Linked DNA regions of Lepisosteus oculatus. The protein of the gene in region 2 interacts with the protein of the main gene of each other region in a pairwise test. Links are inferred from orthologs where the notes say so. Each region holds a gene or a part of one and is shown on either strand. Other genes may lie near its edges. The genes, in order: rpp25l and arhgef2a.

Region 1 (8,166 bases), on a different chromosome or scaffold from region 2:
TCTGCCACAAAAACATTGTAATTTCCCTGAAAACTTTATTAATTGCATTGATGCATCCATGTGACAAGTTACAACATTAATATGTTTTATTGGAAATATCTCTGCTAATAAAATACTCAGAAGTTTTTCATAATTCTTCTTTTAATCCAGTGAAAAAATAAGTGTTCACCTGAGTTTGTATTTATATAATTTATTGCATCACTTGAATTAACTTAAAACATTCTTATAAATTCCTTCTTCTCTGTTCAACATATAAAAATAAGGCAGAAGACAAATTTCATCCGTCTACACTTTTAACTCGTCCATTTAAACTTGTAAATGGGAAAGTAGTCCATGAAGATCTAAGGTACACAGAGACAGATCTTCTGCTTCTCAAACAAAACATGTAATATTTCCTTCGAAGTTCAGATGCCCACTAATTCAAGTTCCTGCTGATCTTTGTCCTCGCTATCGACATATCCTTCCTCTAGAGGAACTGGTGAAGATTTCCTCCCATGAACCTCTTTGGCTAGGAACTTGGCGTCTTCAGGATAGTTGTCCGGATGCCCTCATTCGTGGTGAGTGCCCCTCCAACTTGGCGCTTTCCCCGACACCTCGCTGCGCCGCCCCCGAGCTCCCGAGGAGGGTCGACCCCCTTTCCCTCTGCCGCTGCCCCCGCCTCTCTTCCTGCGCGGCTCCTGCGCAGCCCCCTCCTCTCTTGCGGCCTGGGCCCACAGGGTGTCAAAGCAGCCGGGCGGCTGGTACCCTGCCTGGGTCGCGTCCAGGGGGTCTTTGGAGAGCAGGACCCAGACGGCGGGAACGTTCTTGTGCACGGTGAGGCCGTCCAGGCCCGCTGCCGGTTCCAGCGGCTCCCACAGCTCCTGCGTGCGGCTGTAGAGCAGCCGCGTGACCTGGTGCAGCCCGCGCACGCGCCGCTTCAGGATTTCCACACAGGTGATGGTCTTGGCCACGCTCTTGCCCGAGCCGGTGAACACAATGTGCCGCGTGGCCTCGCTCTCCATGCGCCCCACCGCGAAGCCCATCAGGTTGCGGATCTTGCTGCCATCCTTGACCTTCATCTCAGGTGTGCCGGCGGGCAGCCCAGGGAAGGGACAGGGGCAGGGCTGCTCCATCGTCTTCGCTTTGCGGTAATTCTCCATGCCTGGGCGGCCTCACAACTGCACAGACAATAAAGGAGCAGGGCTGTCAGTGCCTTTCCTTTTCAGCACAATTATATTCACAATGATCTATTATTGGAGACCATCACTGTTTCTTGCTTTCAGGAAGGTCTTGCATGCTTATGTTCCCAATTAGAACATCTGATCCTCCTTTTCCGAAATTCATCCTTGTTGTAACAAATTAATTTTCTCTATTAATATGGAATAAAGCTACTGAAGACACTAAATTGTACGCAGGACATATGTGAAAAGTTTAGGGAAGGATCAAAAACGGCAGTAAAAACTCTGTGAAAGTTGGGAGTGTTGTTTCTGACCCATTTGCTTTTCTCCCTTCCTTGATCTTTAAACTTCCACTGTCGTCTGTGCTAGAGCAAAGCTGAAACACGTGCAGCGTAACAGTTAAATATAAAGCAAAATTTCCCATGTTTAAAACCTAACTTAATAGCAAAACAGAATTTAGATAGTAGCTTAGATATTTAAAGGCTAGTGAAGAATTAGAAATGTCTGCGTTTTTAATCATCCAGAAGAACCCAAACAGCAGTAAATATAGGTGTGGACCAACTTCAACCGCAACTGAATGCAGCCCAACCTGGGTGAAGTGTGGCAGCCATTACTTCACTATCTGAAATAATAATAATAATAATAATTGCTTACACTTATATAGCGCTTTTCTGGACACTCCACTCAAAGCGCTTTACAGGTAATGGGGACTCCCCTCCACCACCACCAATGTGCAGCATCCACCTGGATGATGCGACGGCAGCCATAGTGCGCCAGAACGCTCACCACACATCAGCTATCAGTGGGGAGGAGAGCAGAGTAAATGTAGCCAATTAAGGAGGACATTTAAACAGACCAGATAGTGCAACTCCCGAGTGAAATTTAACCAGGACACTAGGGTAACACTCCTATTTTTACCAGTAGTGCCATTACATAAAGACCAAATAGTACAGACAACGTTTTTGGCACTCATTGCAAAATTTGTTAAAGAAGTTATTTTCATCATGACGGTCATATCAACAACTCTTATTTCACAGATCTACACTCTTGACTAAAAGCACTGTTAAGTTGCAATTCAATAACTGAACACCCTTTTTCGTGTTTCACTCTTAGTTATTACTTTTAACTCAAATTTGTATCTATTTTGGTCAAGGTATTTAAAAGATACAGCAGTGTCAAAAAACAGTATGTGTATCACCTCGTTTGATTAAAGCAATATAACATTCAAGTGATGCTATGTACACGATAGGTGTGTATATTTATTAAGAGTAAACACATTTATTATTGAGTTGACGTGCATATCGGACTATAACAATAATATTAATAGTGAATGAATTAAGTGTTTGGATAAAGCGTTTAACATGACATAAAGGAGTGGAGCGTTTATTCGGTAAGTGCATTTCTTTTTTTCCATGTCCGCAACAGTCACGCGGTAAGTGTGAAACTAGAAGTGCACAAAATACAGATCCCCTTTGTGGACAACTGGCATCCGTACAATATATTTTTTAATAAAACAAAATTAAGTGACTGCAGTGGGCGTCACCTAGAGGGCAACAGAGATATGCGGAGCATTTCATTTCATAACTTATTTAGTCGTGTGTTGTGCTGATATAAAATAACGCAGCACGACCCTAAGGTCGCAACACTTTTCTGTAACTAATTGTTCAGCTATAAATTACAGATCTATCCCTCACTACTGATACAATAGCCTGCAGCCCAGTCTGATGTTCGGAACAAGATTATTGAAGCACTTAAAGCGCGTAAAAAGTACAGCAATCAAATCACACTTTGGACTTATTGTACTGGAGATGTAGATTTATACTCACACAGGCAGGGATCCTCGCTGTAGTTAAAAAAAACACAAAAAATAGTACTTTTTTTACTGTCATTTAATTCGAACAGCACACTACAGTAAGGCTCATCACCATTGCCGAAAAATACTTTGTTAAGCGTCAAGCAGTAACAGCTGCTGTAAAGCGTTGGAAAATACCAACGTTGCTGCTGGGAATTGTAGTTCGCACCCCTTTCCGTCGCGGCGCAGGTGTTGGTGTTCGGGCGTTTACTACTAAGTGGTTACTCAGTTCTTGTGAATACTGTGCCTGCTGCTCTTCCCGTCTGCTAAACTCTAAATTTTCAGCGCTAATTTAAATGGTCTGTTTGCTTCTTTCGACTACTCAATCTCGAGTTTCCAAACACCACACTTCATGGGTAGTGTGTCCCTCATCTGCATTATAGGAGTTAAGGCTTTCAACTTCCTTACCCTTATTTCTGTTTAAACTGCTCTTAATATTTAATCAACTACTAAGGAACTGATTCGTGTGAGGATGGCATTGCATCATACACCTCCACAATGAACTTTTTTTCTTTTCTGCTAAGGTCATATTGGTTGCATTTCAATACAAAAGCATTAAAAAAATCCTTACATTTGTTTAGCACTCTTCTGGCCACTCCACTCAAAGCGCTTTACAGGTAGGGACTCCCCTCCACCACCACCAATCCACCTGCATAATGTGATGGCAGCCACAGTGCACCAGTCCACCCATCACACATCAGCTATCAGTGGGGAGGTGAACAAAGTGATGAAGCAAATTCATTGATGGGGATTATTAGGAGGACATGATTGGTAAAGGTCAATGAGAAATTTGGCCAGGATGCCAGGGTAAGCAGGGTAACACTCTTACTCTTTTTGAGAAGCGCACTGGGATTTTTAATGACCACAGAGGTCAGGACATCGGTTTTACGTCTCATCCAAAAGACAGCACCTTTTTAAATTAAATTAGGCTCTTTTATGAGTCTTACTCAACAATAAACATGACAAACAAGAAACATTTGATAACCAATTATCTTCATACATTTACACCTTCATCAAAATACAATTTCAATATTACTATATAATAATTTTGGAGGTACACCAGTTATGGAAGACTGACTGGAGTACACAAGTGGAAATGGAAACATTTTCTATTGAAAACAGAAAGTGCCTTTTTACACACAAATATTCTAGGGCTTTAGAACAAGCTTCCCAACCATGTGGAAACTGATGTGGGATGCTTCACAAATGAGAAGTCAATAACCTTACTATTACTATTTACCAAATGAGTAAGATTAACCAATTTGTCTTTAACTTTTTTATATTTTGACAAATTAGGAAACTCTTATTAAATTAGGATAATTAACTGTGTGTGGCATAAATGAGAATACCAATTACTCATCTCTTTAGATAGTGAAAGAAAACAAAAACGGCATGTGTAGTTTAATAATTTAAGTTTATTGTGTTCTTTTTATAAACACAGGTATCTCTCATTTCTTGTAGAGACCCTTTTTTCATTTTAATATTTCAAAACTGTAACATTACAGAACATGGAAGAAAGTAAGCTCCTATGTGACTGTAAAGTGTTGATAAGGACTAACAAGCACTGAAGGTCCAGAGCAGAAGTTGGAGGTTTTGGTGGCAGACAATGCGATTACTTCATGAGCCCTCCATGAAAATCACCTGGTCCACAAACCCTCTCTATGCCCCATGGAGACCATGGGAAACATAACATTTGGATAGGCTCTGCAAAAACAACCTACACCTTATATCGTAAGTAGCGTGATATTCACTTTGTGCCAGTAGGATAAATGGGATGGAAGTTATAACCTTAAAGTATTTGGTACTACCAGTGCGTTCCAAGTTGGATATTGTATGTTTGTTTAAACACTGCAGCTGCAATGTCTATAATGTCAAAGGGTTCTTTAAGTCAATCCATCTTGGATACACTGTGTAGGGAAGAGGGGTTTCTGGGACTTCTGAGTTACAGGAAGGGAGGGAGAAGGGTGATCTGAGGCATGTGGTGAAACAGGTAAGAGATTCCATTGGCGATCCATCTCTCCTCTGAAGTCAGGGTGTGTCTGGCATCTTCCAGGCCAAGGACTTCACTCCACTACTGGCTTGACCTGACTGGCATTTTCAAGCTGCCTCAACATCTCGTCCCATTGAGAAAATTGTTTAGACAGCAGGAACATCTGGCATGAAGTCAAGGAGCATAACTGTGGACCAGTATGTCTTAGTTATATTATATGTAGGGCTATGGAAATGACAACTGGAACATCTAAATGGAAATGGGATTCTAGTTGGCAGTCAGCATGGATTTAGAATAGCCTGCTTAATTAGTTAGTTCTCTGAACAAGCAACAACAGTAAAAAATCCAGAGCACACAATCTGGTATATTAAGATTTTCAGTAGGCTACTGATACAGTTCGTCATAAAAGACTAATCCTAAAATTCCGGGTATTTAAGATTATATATGTCTGGATTTAAAACTGGAAAATGGATATAAAAAAGAGCATCAGATAAAAGGGTAAATACAGTGGGAGGATGGAACTAGTTGAGTGCCACAATGGTCTGTAACAAGAACACTGTTCTTCCTTTATATCAATGATCTACGATAAATCGTTTAAAATGCCTTACACTTACTACACTTATCATTAAGGTTAACCACATAACTGATGTGTTATGAATTATTACAACACAACTGGAATGTACTGGCGATTTGTATTATCCAAAGAAATTCACTGTTTTCCTATTCTTGTTTCCCATTCGTCAATTAACAGAAACTGAAAGTTGGCTTAGTCTGCTTCACATCTGGCTGACTTGCAGATGTTAATACAAAATGCGCACCACACTGTTGATACACATTTTCCATGTGATGACAATTTGAGACATAAAGTAGTAGGACTAGCAGCAGTAGTGTCAGAAGGATACCATCTTGTTGTAATCTTCAAACTGCTTCTTCACTTCCTCAGATAGAGTTTCACACTGGTCCTGCGGAGAAGAAAAAAACGACTGAGGTTTTGAGGTAAAACAAATGATATTCCAGGATTACCAAAGAGAAGGGATTTAATTTTGTAGTAGGAATGTTGAAAACAGTAATTTTAATATTACTTTAATTCCAAAAGACAGTAAAATTCACTCAGATTATTATTGCCCACTGTACACCACTAGAGGGCCCTCTAGCCAGCCCCTCTCTCATTAGTTCAGCGTGAGAATGTATATCAGCACCACCTGGGTCTTCATTAGAAACCCTATATAACATTCGCACACAATCTCCCTGTGTTTGCATCAGAGCCACGGCACCAGTCGCCAGACTGCGGACGTCCGTTTCCACTCTCTTATGGAGATCTCAACCATCATGTCGAAATTCGTACACTTTTATCTTTGCTTGAAGGCTACAAGAACGCCACTTAGTGTACACGTCGGCTCTCTTGGCTAGAGGTATCGACCAGAGACCAGAGAAAAGGCAGCCACAAAACCCACACTGTTAAACACCTAAACCATTTACAATCTACAGTAGCAAGTGTTTCCTTTTCCTGGCAGGACTGCTGCCCTTAAGGCTATGAGTACACTTAAATTTTTTTAATAATTGACACTACAGTGGAAAGTGATGAAAGTACTGACTTTATACTGACAAAATGGGCGATAACTGTTTCTATGCAGCATTCAAAGGGATCTCTGACCTTAACCATGATGCCGCTGCAGCTACTACTAAATTCTGGAGGCTTTCGCTGCAAAGAGCATAATGTTACTATGGATTTGGCTTTGTTGAATTTTATTTCAATTAACGCTTATTGATGCAAAGCAATGTGACCCTTGTGTTTTCTGGGATCAATTATTTATGACCAGTATGGTATGACTTTGCTCTATTCAATTCTATTATAATTACACCATATCATTTTCAGAAGTATTTTAAGCAAGACAATCTATAATTTATGCTCTTACTGCATATGGTGTTGCTGTTCCGTTATCATTGTGTGTTAACACATCTGGAGGATACTGTATAGAATAAATGCGTGTGCATGAATACACAGAGAAAAATACATTTAATCTTCAAGCCTTTATCGATTGGCCACCCCAATATTTTTACACAAATTTGTCATTGGCTTTATTTCACCTTACCCTTGAAAATGAATAAATTCATCTTGCTGTCTTACAAGAAGTATTAGATATGTAAGCAATTTTATCTGGTTAATTGCCCTGTGAAGGTTAGACTATCACTGAAAAGGAATTGAGTGAGAAATAGTTCATTTTGCCTTTGAAAAGCAATCATGATAGTTCGTGAATGAAGACACACTGTATCTAAGTTAAATACAAAAAACTTTAAATACTTTCTTCATAGGGGTAATGTGAGCCTATTCTTTCCACTTTCCTAAGAAAGAGGATTACCTGCTGTTGAACCACTTTATTACAGAGAAAGAAATCAGAGCCCAGATTGATAGACAGCAAGAGAGAGATAGAGTTAGCGGCAAGGAGCTCATACCTGCTGTTTGATGTGTATCTGTGACAGGCGTTGCAGCTTGGTGGCGTGGTCAGGGACAGCTGTGTAGAACACAGGCATGTTACAGAACACTCCCAGAGGGGACAACACAGGCAACAGTGACAGAGCAACCTCTCAGAAACCAGCCAGGGTAAGATCCACAAAGACCTCTTACAAAACACATGGGGTTCTCCTCTAACACTGTACAAAGCAAGAAGTGGTACAGTATTTCCACATTTGAGAGATTATAATAATAATAATTAATAATTGCTTACATTTATATAGCAGCTTTCTGGACACTCCACTCAAAGCACTTTACAGGTAATGGGGACTCCCCTCCACCACCACCAATGTGCAGCCCCACCTGGATGATGCAATGGCAGCCATAGTGCGCCAGGACGCTCACCACACATCAGCTATCAGTGGGGAGGAGAGCAGAGTAATGAAGCCAATTCATAGGTGGGGATTATTAGGAGGCCATGATTGGTAAGGGCCAATGGAAAATTTGGCCAGGACACCGGAGTTACACCCGTTCTCTTTTCGAGAAAAGCGCTGTGATTTTTAATGACCACAGAGAGTCAGGGCCTCGTTTTTACATCTCATCCGAAGGACGGTGCCCGTTTACAGTATAGTGTCCTCATCACTATACTGGACTATTAGGATTCAGCATTAGACTGCAGGGTTAACGTCCCCTGCTGGCCCCACTAACACCTCTT
Region 2 (7,747 bases):
TGTGTCTCCCCGTGTCCAGGGACAGGATGACCGCGGAGGAGTGCCTCGTCCACCCCTGGATCAAGGTGGGTAGCGGCAGGTCACTGCCCCTCTTCCCCTGGGTGAGTTCTTGTTGTTCAGGCGGCAGGCTGGCACTCGCACCCGAGGCTGGCAGAGCCCCCCCCCCCCGAGAGACAGGGGGTCCTGGCTGCTGGGAGGTTGTGGGCCAGTCGCTGCTGTCCCGCTGTCCCGCTGTCCTCTGCAGTGAGGGGCCTCAGGAACTGGTTCCAGTTTTGGCCCCCTGTGGGAGCACACTCTGGAGCCAGGCGTGGGCACAGCTCCGCTCTCTAATAATAATAATAATAACAATAATAATAATAATTCTAATTCCTTACACTTACATAGATCTTTTCTGGACACTCCACTCAAACTCTCAGTGGGGAGGAGAGCAGAGCGATGAAGCCAGTTCAGAGAGGGGGGTTATTAGGAGGCCCTGACTGGTAAAGGAAAGGGGGAATCTGGCCAGGTTGCAGGGATAACACCCCCACTCTTTTCGGGGAACACTCTGGGATTTTTAATGACCACAGAGAGTCAGGACCTCGGTTTTATTTCACATCCGAAGGACGGCACCTTTATTACAGTATAGTGTGCCCGTCACTGTACTGGGGCATTAGGACCCACACAGACTGCAGGGTGAGCGCCCCCTACTGGTCACGCTAACACCTCTTCCAGCAGCAGCCACCCCTCCAGGTACTGGCCAGGCTCACAGGCTCGTGGCTGCTGGGAGTCTCCCTCTCTCCTAATCCCGTCTCCCTGTCCCTCTCCCTGTCCCTGCGCCGCACAGCCGCTGAGCAGGAAGCAGGCGGACAATCGGAGCCGCTCCTCCATCAACATGAAGAGCTTCCGGAGGTTCAACGCGCGCAGGAAGTGGAAGGTGGGTACGGGAAGGCCGCCGGGGCCTGTCCCAGCGAGCAGCGGGGCGCAAGGCGGGGTGCACCCTGCGCGGGCAGACAGACGCGCGGCCACGCGGTTTTCCTGGAGGCCAGCCAACCTGCCGCTGTCTTTGATCTGTGGGAGGAAACCAGAGCACCCAGGGGAAACCCAGGAGGGCTCGGGGAGACTGTACAGACTCTATGTGGGGGTGCCTGTACCCCAGGACCTGAACCTGGAGCCCCAGTGCTGCTCCCCCCCCTGAGGAGACAGCGGCCAGTCTTGATCCCCGCCAGCTGGTCTCTTCAGGGCCTTGTTTAGCTTGGCCAGCGAGTGCAGTTATTATTAACGACTGAGGAGCTGTCGTCTGCCGCCACCTGGTGGCCAGCGGGGGAACTACACTGCGGTTCCTCACACTCACCCCCTCTCTCTCCCTCTCGCCAGGTCTCCTATAAGATGGTGTCGGCCTGTAATCGACTGTGCCACCTGCAGCTGCTGTGCAAGAGCACGGGGAAGGAGGACCAGGAGCTGGTAAGGGGGAGAGGGGATGGGAGGGGCAGAGAAAGGAGAGAGTGGGGTGGGACAGGAAAGGCAGCAGGGGTGGTTGTAGGGTAAAAGAGGGGTGCTGACTGTCCTGCTTCTGCTGTCCACCTCAGAGACAGTGCGAGAGTGACCAGGAGGACGTCCAGACCAAGCCTGCCTCCCTCATCCGCCGGCGCCTCAGCAGCAATTCCTAGGGAGCAACCACAAGGGGGCGCCACTGGGCTGCCTCCAACCCAGTCTGGAGTCCTGGCTGGCAGGTGTGGATGGGCAGAGACTGTCTGGGCCGAGCTCCAGCCCTGGAGGATCTGTGGACCAGAGGGACTACCGAACTTCCTCCCTGAGAGTCATGGGGGGTGCTGTAGGGCAGGTTGGGGGTTTCTGAGCGGACAAGCCCAGAAAACCAGTTATTATGTAGTATTTCTTTAACAGTACCATAGCAAGGAATCTCCAGCCTTGGTCCTGCAGAGCTCCTCTGATCTCTCAGGGTTTATAGGGCCAGCCAGTCACCTTCTTCATCTGGACCAATTAGTGTAATTAAGTAATTAAGAACCAGGCTGGAAGAGGCCAGAGAGACAGTAGCTCTGCAGGAGCAGTGAGGGGGTCTCCTGTATAACATCCGTGGTTCAACATACTGTTGTCAAGGCAGCACATGTGTTAGTGTTTTGTTTCCATGTCTGTGCAATATGGGTTGTCCCAATGAAGGAGTTCAGGGCCCCAGGGACGGAGCTCCGGGGAAAACGGCAGGAAGAGGTTCTGGATCCGGCTCTGGCCCGATTTCTCCCTGCAGCGGAATACCAGGCCAGCCGGCTGTAAAATCCAACATCAGGAGCTTTCATCCACGGCCGAGCAGAACGAGACCGGGGCCGGAGCCGGGTTCGACAGGGGCCTGACTCCCGCGAGTGACGCCCTGCAGTCTGCCGGCTCGTTACTGCTGAAGGGCCGCAGCTTCGTTAGAGGCCAGGGGGACTCGCTGACCCGCCGCGCCTGCTCCGGGCCCAAGAAGACGGTCTCGCCCGCCTCACCCGAGAGCTCCTGCAGGGGGCGCTGTAGCCGGCTCTTCCCCTGGCAGCTGGACGTGAACCGGGTCAAGGACGAGCCAGCGGATCTGGAAGGAGCTGGACTCTTGGGGAGGACGACTCCCAGTTGAAGGGTGTTTTATCAGAGCTGCGAGGGGGCGCTTCCTGTCCCCTGTGCAGGGGAGAACACCAGGCGGCTCTGGAGCTGAAGACAGATCTGGCGCTGTTGTTGGAAAGCAGAACGCTTCCCAGTAGGCAGAGCCGGAGTCAAACTGGCGGACTGGATCTCCTCACGTTCCTGGGGCCTAGAACAGGGGTCTCATGCCACAGTCCCGGGAGCCCCAGGCCAGTTAGTCTGGCAGACCACCCTGAGTCACCTCCTCTGTTTTTAAAGACTGTCCAGTGCAGTGAGCCTGGGGTGTTTATCGCAGATGATCTCTGAGTCAGGACAGCATGGTGCCATTCAGGGCTCGGGGACCCTCTTTAAGGAGTTTGCATGTTCTCCCCATGTTCACATGGGTTCTCACCTGGTGTTCGTGATTTTACCCTGATCTCACTGGGCTTTCCTGCTCTGTACTGTGTTTTTACCCTGATCTCACTGGGCTTTCCTGCTCTGTACTGTGGTTTTACCCTGATCTCACTGGGCTTTCCTGCTCTGTACTGTGTTTTTACCCTGATCCCACTGGGCTTTCCTGCTCTGTACTGTGTTTTACCCTGATCTCACTGGGCTTTCCTGCACTGCACTATGCTTTTACCCTGATCTCATTGGCTTTCCTGCTCTGTACTGTGCTTTTACCCTGATCTCACTGGCCTGTACTGCTTTGTACTGTGTTTTACCCTGATCTCACTGGGCTTTCCTGCTCTGTACTGTGCTTTTACCCTGATCTCACTGGGCTGTACTGCACTGTACTGATCTACTGCAGTGCTTTTGTAACAAGAATGATTCATTTCAGAAAAAGAAGACTTTGTACCTCCTTGCAAAAGCAGGCCTGCCTTGCATGTTTATACAGAAAAAATAATGTTTTAGTTTTTTTAAAGACCTGTGTGCATAACCGATTTTAATAAACAGTTCTAGTTTTCCTCTGTCTCAGACATATTGATATCTGAATTTCATGATGGAAAAACTTTAAAGCCACGTCCAGGAGTTAAACTTCACCTCTGTTCCTCCTGTGAGTTGTAGAAACAGAGACTCTGGTTTCCTCACTGGTGCAGTTTGATAACTGCACAGAACACACAGACCAGCGTGATGTTAAGTGCCATATTTGTCTAACATTATACACCTGGAGTACTGACTCTTACTGGACACACTGTACACACACACACACACCTGGAGTACAGACTCTTACTGGACACACTGTACACACACACACCTGGAGTACAGACTCTTTACTGGACACACTGTACACACACACACACACACCTGGAGTACAGACTCTTACTGGACACACTGTACACACACACACCTGGAGTACAGACTCTTACTGGACACACTGTACACACACACACCTGGAGTACAGACTCTTTACTGGACACACTGTACACACACACACACACACCTGGAGTACAGACTCTTACTGGACACACTGTACACACACACACACCTGGAGTACAGACTCTTACTGGACACACTGTACACACACACACACACACCTGGAGTACAGACTCTTTACTGGACACACACACACACACACCTGGAGTCCTCACTCTTACTGGACACACTGTACACACACACACACACCTGGAGTCCTGACTCTTACTGGACACACTGTACACACACACACACACACACCTGGAGTCCTGACTCTTACTGGACACACTGTACACACACACACACACCTGGAGTACAGACTCTTACTGGACACACTGTACACACACACACACACCTGGAGTACAGACTCTTTACTGGACACACACACACACCTGGAGTGCACCCCCACTTCTCTGCCCCCTCTCTTCCCCTGCACCCCCTCTCCTCTCCTGCACCCCCACTTCTCCTGTGCCCCTTCTCCTCTCCTGCGCCCCCACTTCTCCGCCCCCTCTCCTCTCCTGCACCCCCACTTCTCCTGTGCCCCCTCTCCTCTCCTGTGCCCCCACTTCTCCGCCCCCTCTCCTCTCCTGCACCCCCACTGATCTCCCGCCCCACTCCTGTACAACAGCAGGTGAGAGTCGCGGACACGTGGCCGCCGATCTGGAAACGTGACGTCGCCTCTCGCGCGCGGCGCTGCCCCTGATGAGCTGACTCGCTGACCCACAGAGGCGCGCGCGCACACACACACTCGCCGCTCAGCCGAAACTCCGGAGCGCGACGCTCTCACGCTCCGGCCACAGGTGCAGCTCGCGGACCCGACCCGCCCGAGGATCATAGCTCGTGAGGAGGAGGGGGGTCTGTGGAACTGTCTCGCGTGGAGGAATGACAGCGACGGCCGGCGAAGAGCGGACCCGGGAGAAGCGGAGACCCGCAGGTCCGGCCCGCGGCGGCAGGTAGCCGCGCCTTTGTGTCCGGCTGTTGCGCGTCTATCCTCGATTTCTCCGCCGACTTTGTTTCTGGGGATTCTGGCGGCTGACCCGACCTTCTGCTCTTCGACAAAGGGAAAAAGGAGGAAGAAGAGACCAAGGAAAAGAGTTTTGTCTTTTTATTTTATTTTTTTTTTTAAAAAAAAGGGAAGGAAGAGGAGCTCGCGCTCACCTGGCCCGAGCGGCGAGCACCGCAGGCGCGAGACTGAGGCTCGCGGGGGGGAAATGTCCGGAAAACGACATTAAACCCCTGAATCATTCAAGGAGAAATATTCGCCCAAACAGCAAGAACCCGGAGAAAAGCGTGACTTCTGGACGGAGACGGAGCAGCCGTCACTCACTCGGGCTGTAAGTCTGTTGTTGCTGGCGGGGGACGGGTCACGGCGCTCTCACCCTGACGGGTTTATAAGCAATTAGGCGAGTGAGCTTTTTATTTCCTGATTGGAATTCATTTTGAAACATAGCCACTTCATCACCTTTATCACCTCTGTGTCTTATTTTGCTAGATTAGAAGCCTAAAGCATTTTAGGGTGTGGAGGAATGTGGAAGTTGTTTTTCAAAGGATTCGTCTCAATGTGACGATACAGAGGAGCTGGACTGAGTGTCTGTACAGTGACTCTCCAGCTCTGATGATGATGAAGGAGTGTTCATGTGAAGATACAGAGGAGCTGGACTGAGTGTCTGTACAGTGACTCTCCAGCTCTGATGATGATGAAGGAGTGTTCATGTGAAGATACAGAGGAGCTGGACTGAGTGTCTATACAGTGACTCTCCAGCTCTGATGATGATGAAGGAGTGTTAGTGTGAAGACACAGAGTGTTGTATTATTGCACTTTGTCAGCAGCAGATATGAAAAGCAGTTCCGTGTGCCTGGTGTGTGCGTGGCCTGTGGAGACAGTGAGTGTACCGCTGGGGTGGCTGACAGGTTCTGGAGTGTTTGCCTTTTTTAACAGTTTCAGTTCTCCTGTCCTCAGCATGTGGAAGTGCCTTATAAATGTGGGAGTGAGTGTGTGTGTTTTCAGGGTGTGTGTGTGTTTACAATCGACATGTAAACAACAGCGCTGCAAACAAGGCCAGCAGCCAGAGGGGCAGAGAGGGAGAGGAGGAGGAGGAGACTTGTTGACTTTTAAATTTCTTCGCTAAACTAAGTGCAAAGGAAATAGACTCTTAAGGCATGTATAGATTTAACACGACAACCCAATATACAGCAGCCCTGTATACAAAAGCATTATACACTGTACAGTACAAACCAGTTTCTACACAACAACCCAATATACAATCAGTCCTGCATACAGCAACCCTGTATACAACAACACTGTGTACAGTACAACACACTTTCTACACAACAACCTAATATACAATCAGTCCTGCATACAGCAACCCTGTATACAACAACACTGTGTACAGTACAACACACTTTCTACACAACAACCCAATATACAATCAGTCCTGCATACAGCAACCTTGTATACAACAACACTGTGTACAGTACAACACACTTTCTACACAACAACCCAATATACAATCAGTCCTGCATACAGCAACCCTGTATACAGCCGCCCTGTTGACGATCGATCCAGCGTGAGCGCTCTCTGAGAGAAGGAAAGTGAAAGAGAAGATTCCTGCAGGACAGGATCAGTCAGAGTGACACGAGACCAAGTTCAGAGGCGCTGTGCTTCCTCAGCCACTCCATTATCTCCATCACTGTCAGACTGGTTCAACTGGCCACCTGCTCTCTGTGTCTCCACACCTCAGCCTGCACACAGTGAGGTCAGGGTAAGAGCACAGTACAGAGCAGCAAAGCCCAGTGAGATCAGGGTAAGAGCACAGTACAGAGCAGTACAGCCCAGTGAGGTCAGGGTAAAAGCACAGTACAGTGCAGTACAGCCCAGTGAGATCAGGGTAAGAGCACAGTACAGAGCAGTACAGCCCGGTGAGATCAGGGTAAAAGCACAGTACAGTGCAGTGAAGCCCAGTGAGATCAGAGTAAAAGCACAGTACAGTGCAGCGAAGCCCAGTGAGATCAGGGTAAAAGCACAGTACAGAGCAGCAAAGCCCAGTGAGATCAGGGTAAGAGCACAGTACAGTGCAATACAGCCCGGTGAGATCAGGGTAGAGGCACAGTACAGTGAGTAAAGCCCAGTGAGATCAGGGTAAAAGCGCAGTACAGTGCAGTAAAGCCAGTGAGGTCAGGGTGTGGGAGGGTGAGCTGAGGCCCAGCCTCGCTGCCTGTGAGCTGGCGCTCGCTGGCCCATTGTTGCACCGGTCACACCTCCCTCTCAGGAATGTCCTGACTGACTGCTGTGTGGCGGATTTCTGCCCGGACAATAGACACTGTTTATTCTGCTCTCAGAATAAAGAGGGAGAGAGGCAGGGAAAGTCTGAGAGAGAGGTCTAGGAAGTCTGAGGGAGACAGAGATAGATTGAGGGAGAGAAGGAAAGAGGATCAGAGAGAGGGAGAGGGTGAGGAGCAGGGAGAGAGAGGGAGAGGGTGAGGAGCAGGGAGAGGCCTGAGTGTGGAGAGTCAGGTGTGGCTCTTTGGACCTGGGCGGTGTTTCCAGTCAGTGTTGATCCAGAGGGCTGAGTGAGCAGCTCATTGTCAGCGGCTGAACATGCCACCTGAACACCTGTACACACAGCACCTGATCACACAGGCTAAACGCCCGAGCACACCACCTGTACACATTGCGCCTGATCACACAGGCCAGATGTACCACCAGAGAGAACAGACTAAACCCATACAGTGGGCTAAATTCACCACTTGA

Evidence for each region.
Region 1: the proteins of arhgef2a (region 2) and rpp25l interact in binary tests that used the Homo sapiens proteins (3 or more experiments, as listed by UniProt). The two-hybrid records come from large-scale screens. The link is inferred for Lepisosteus oculatus from reciprocal best matches to the Homo sapiens genes ARHGEF2 and RPP25L.

The regions. Positions count from the first base shown.
Region 1 is NC_090705.1:20,166,653-20,174,818, forward strand, and holds the start of rpp25l (ribonuclease P protein subunit p25-like protein), read right to left. Parts: upstream 3,114-8,166; 5' UTR 2,984-3,113; intron 1,158-2,983; 5' UTR 1,140-1,157; coding exon 549-1,139; 3' UTR 1-548. Other genes in the region: dctn3 (dynactin subunit 3), read right to left, coding at 5,073-5,162, 5,902-5,961, 7,454-7,512. UniProt on the Homo sapiens protein: May be a component of ribonuclease P or MRP.
Region 2 is NC_090722.1:6,216,714-6,224,460, reverse strand, and holds the start of arhgef2a (rho guanine nucleotide exchange factor 2), read left to right. Parts: upstream 1-4,736; 5' UTR 4,737-5,330; intron 5,331-7,747. Other genes in the region: death-associated protein kinase 2, read left to right, coding at 20-65, 824-913, 1,354-1,440, 1,566-1,646. UniProt on the Homo sapiens protein: Activates Rho-GTPases by promoting the exchange of GDP for GTP.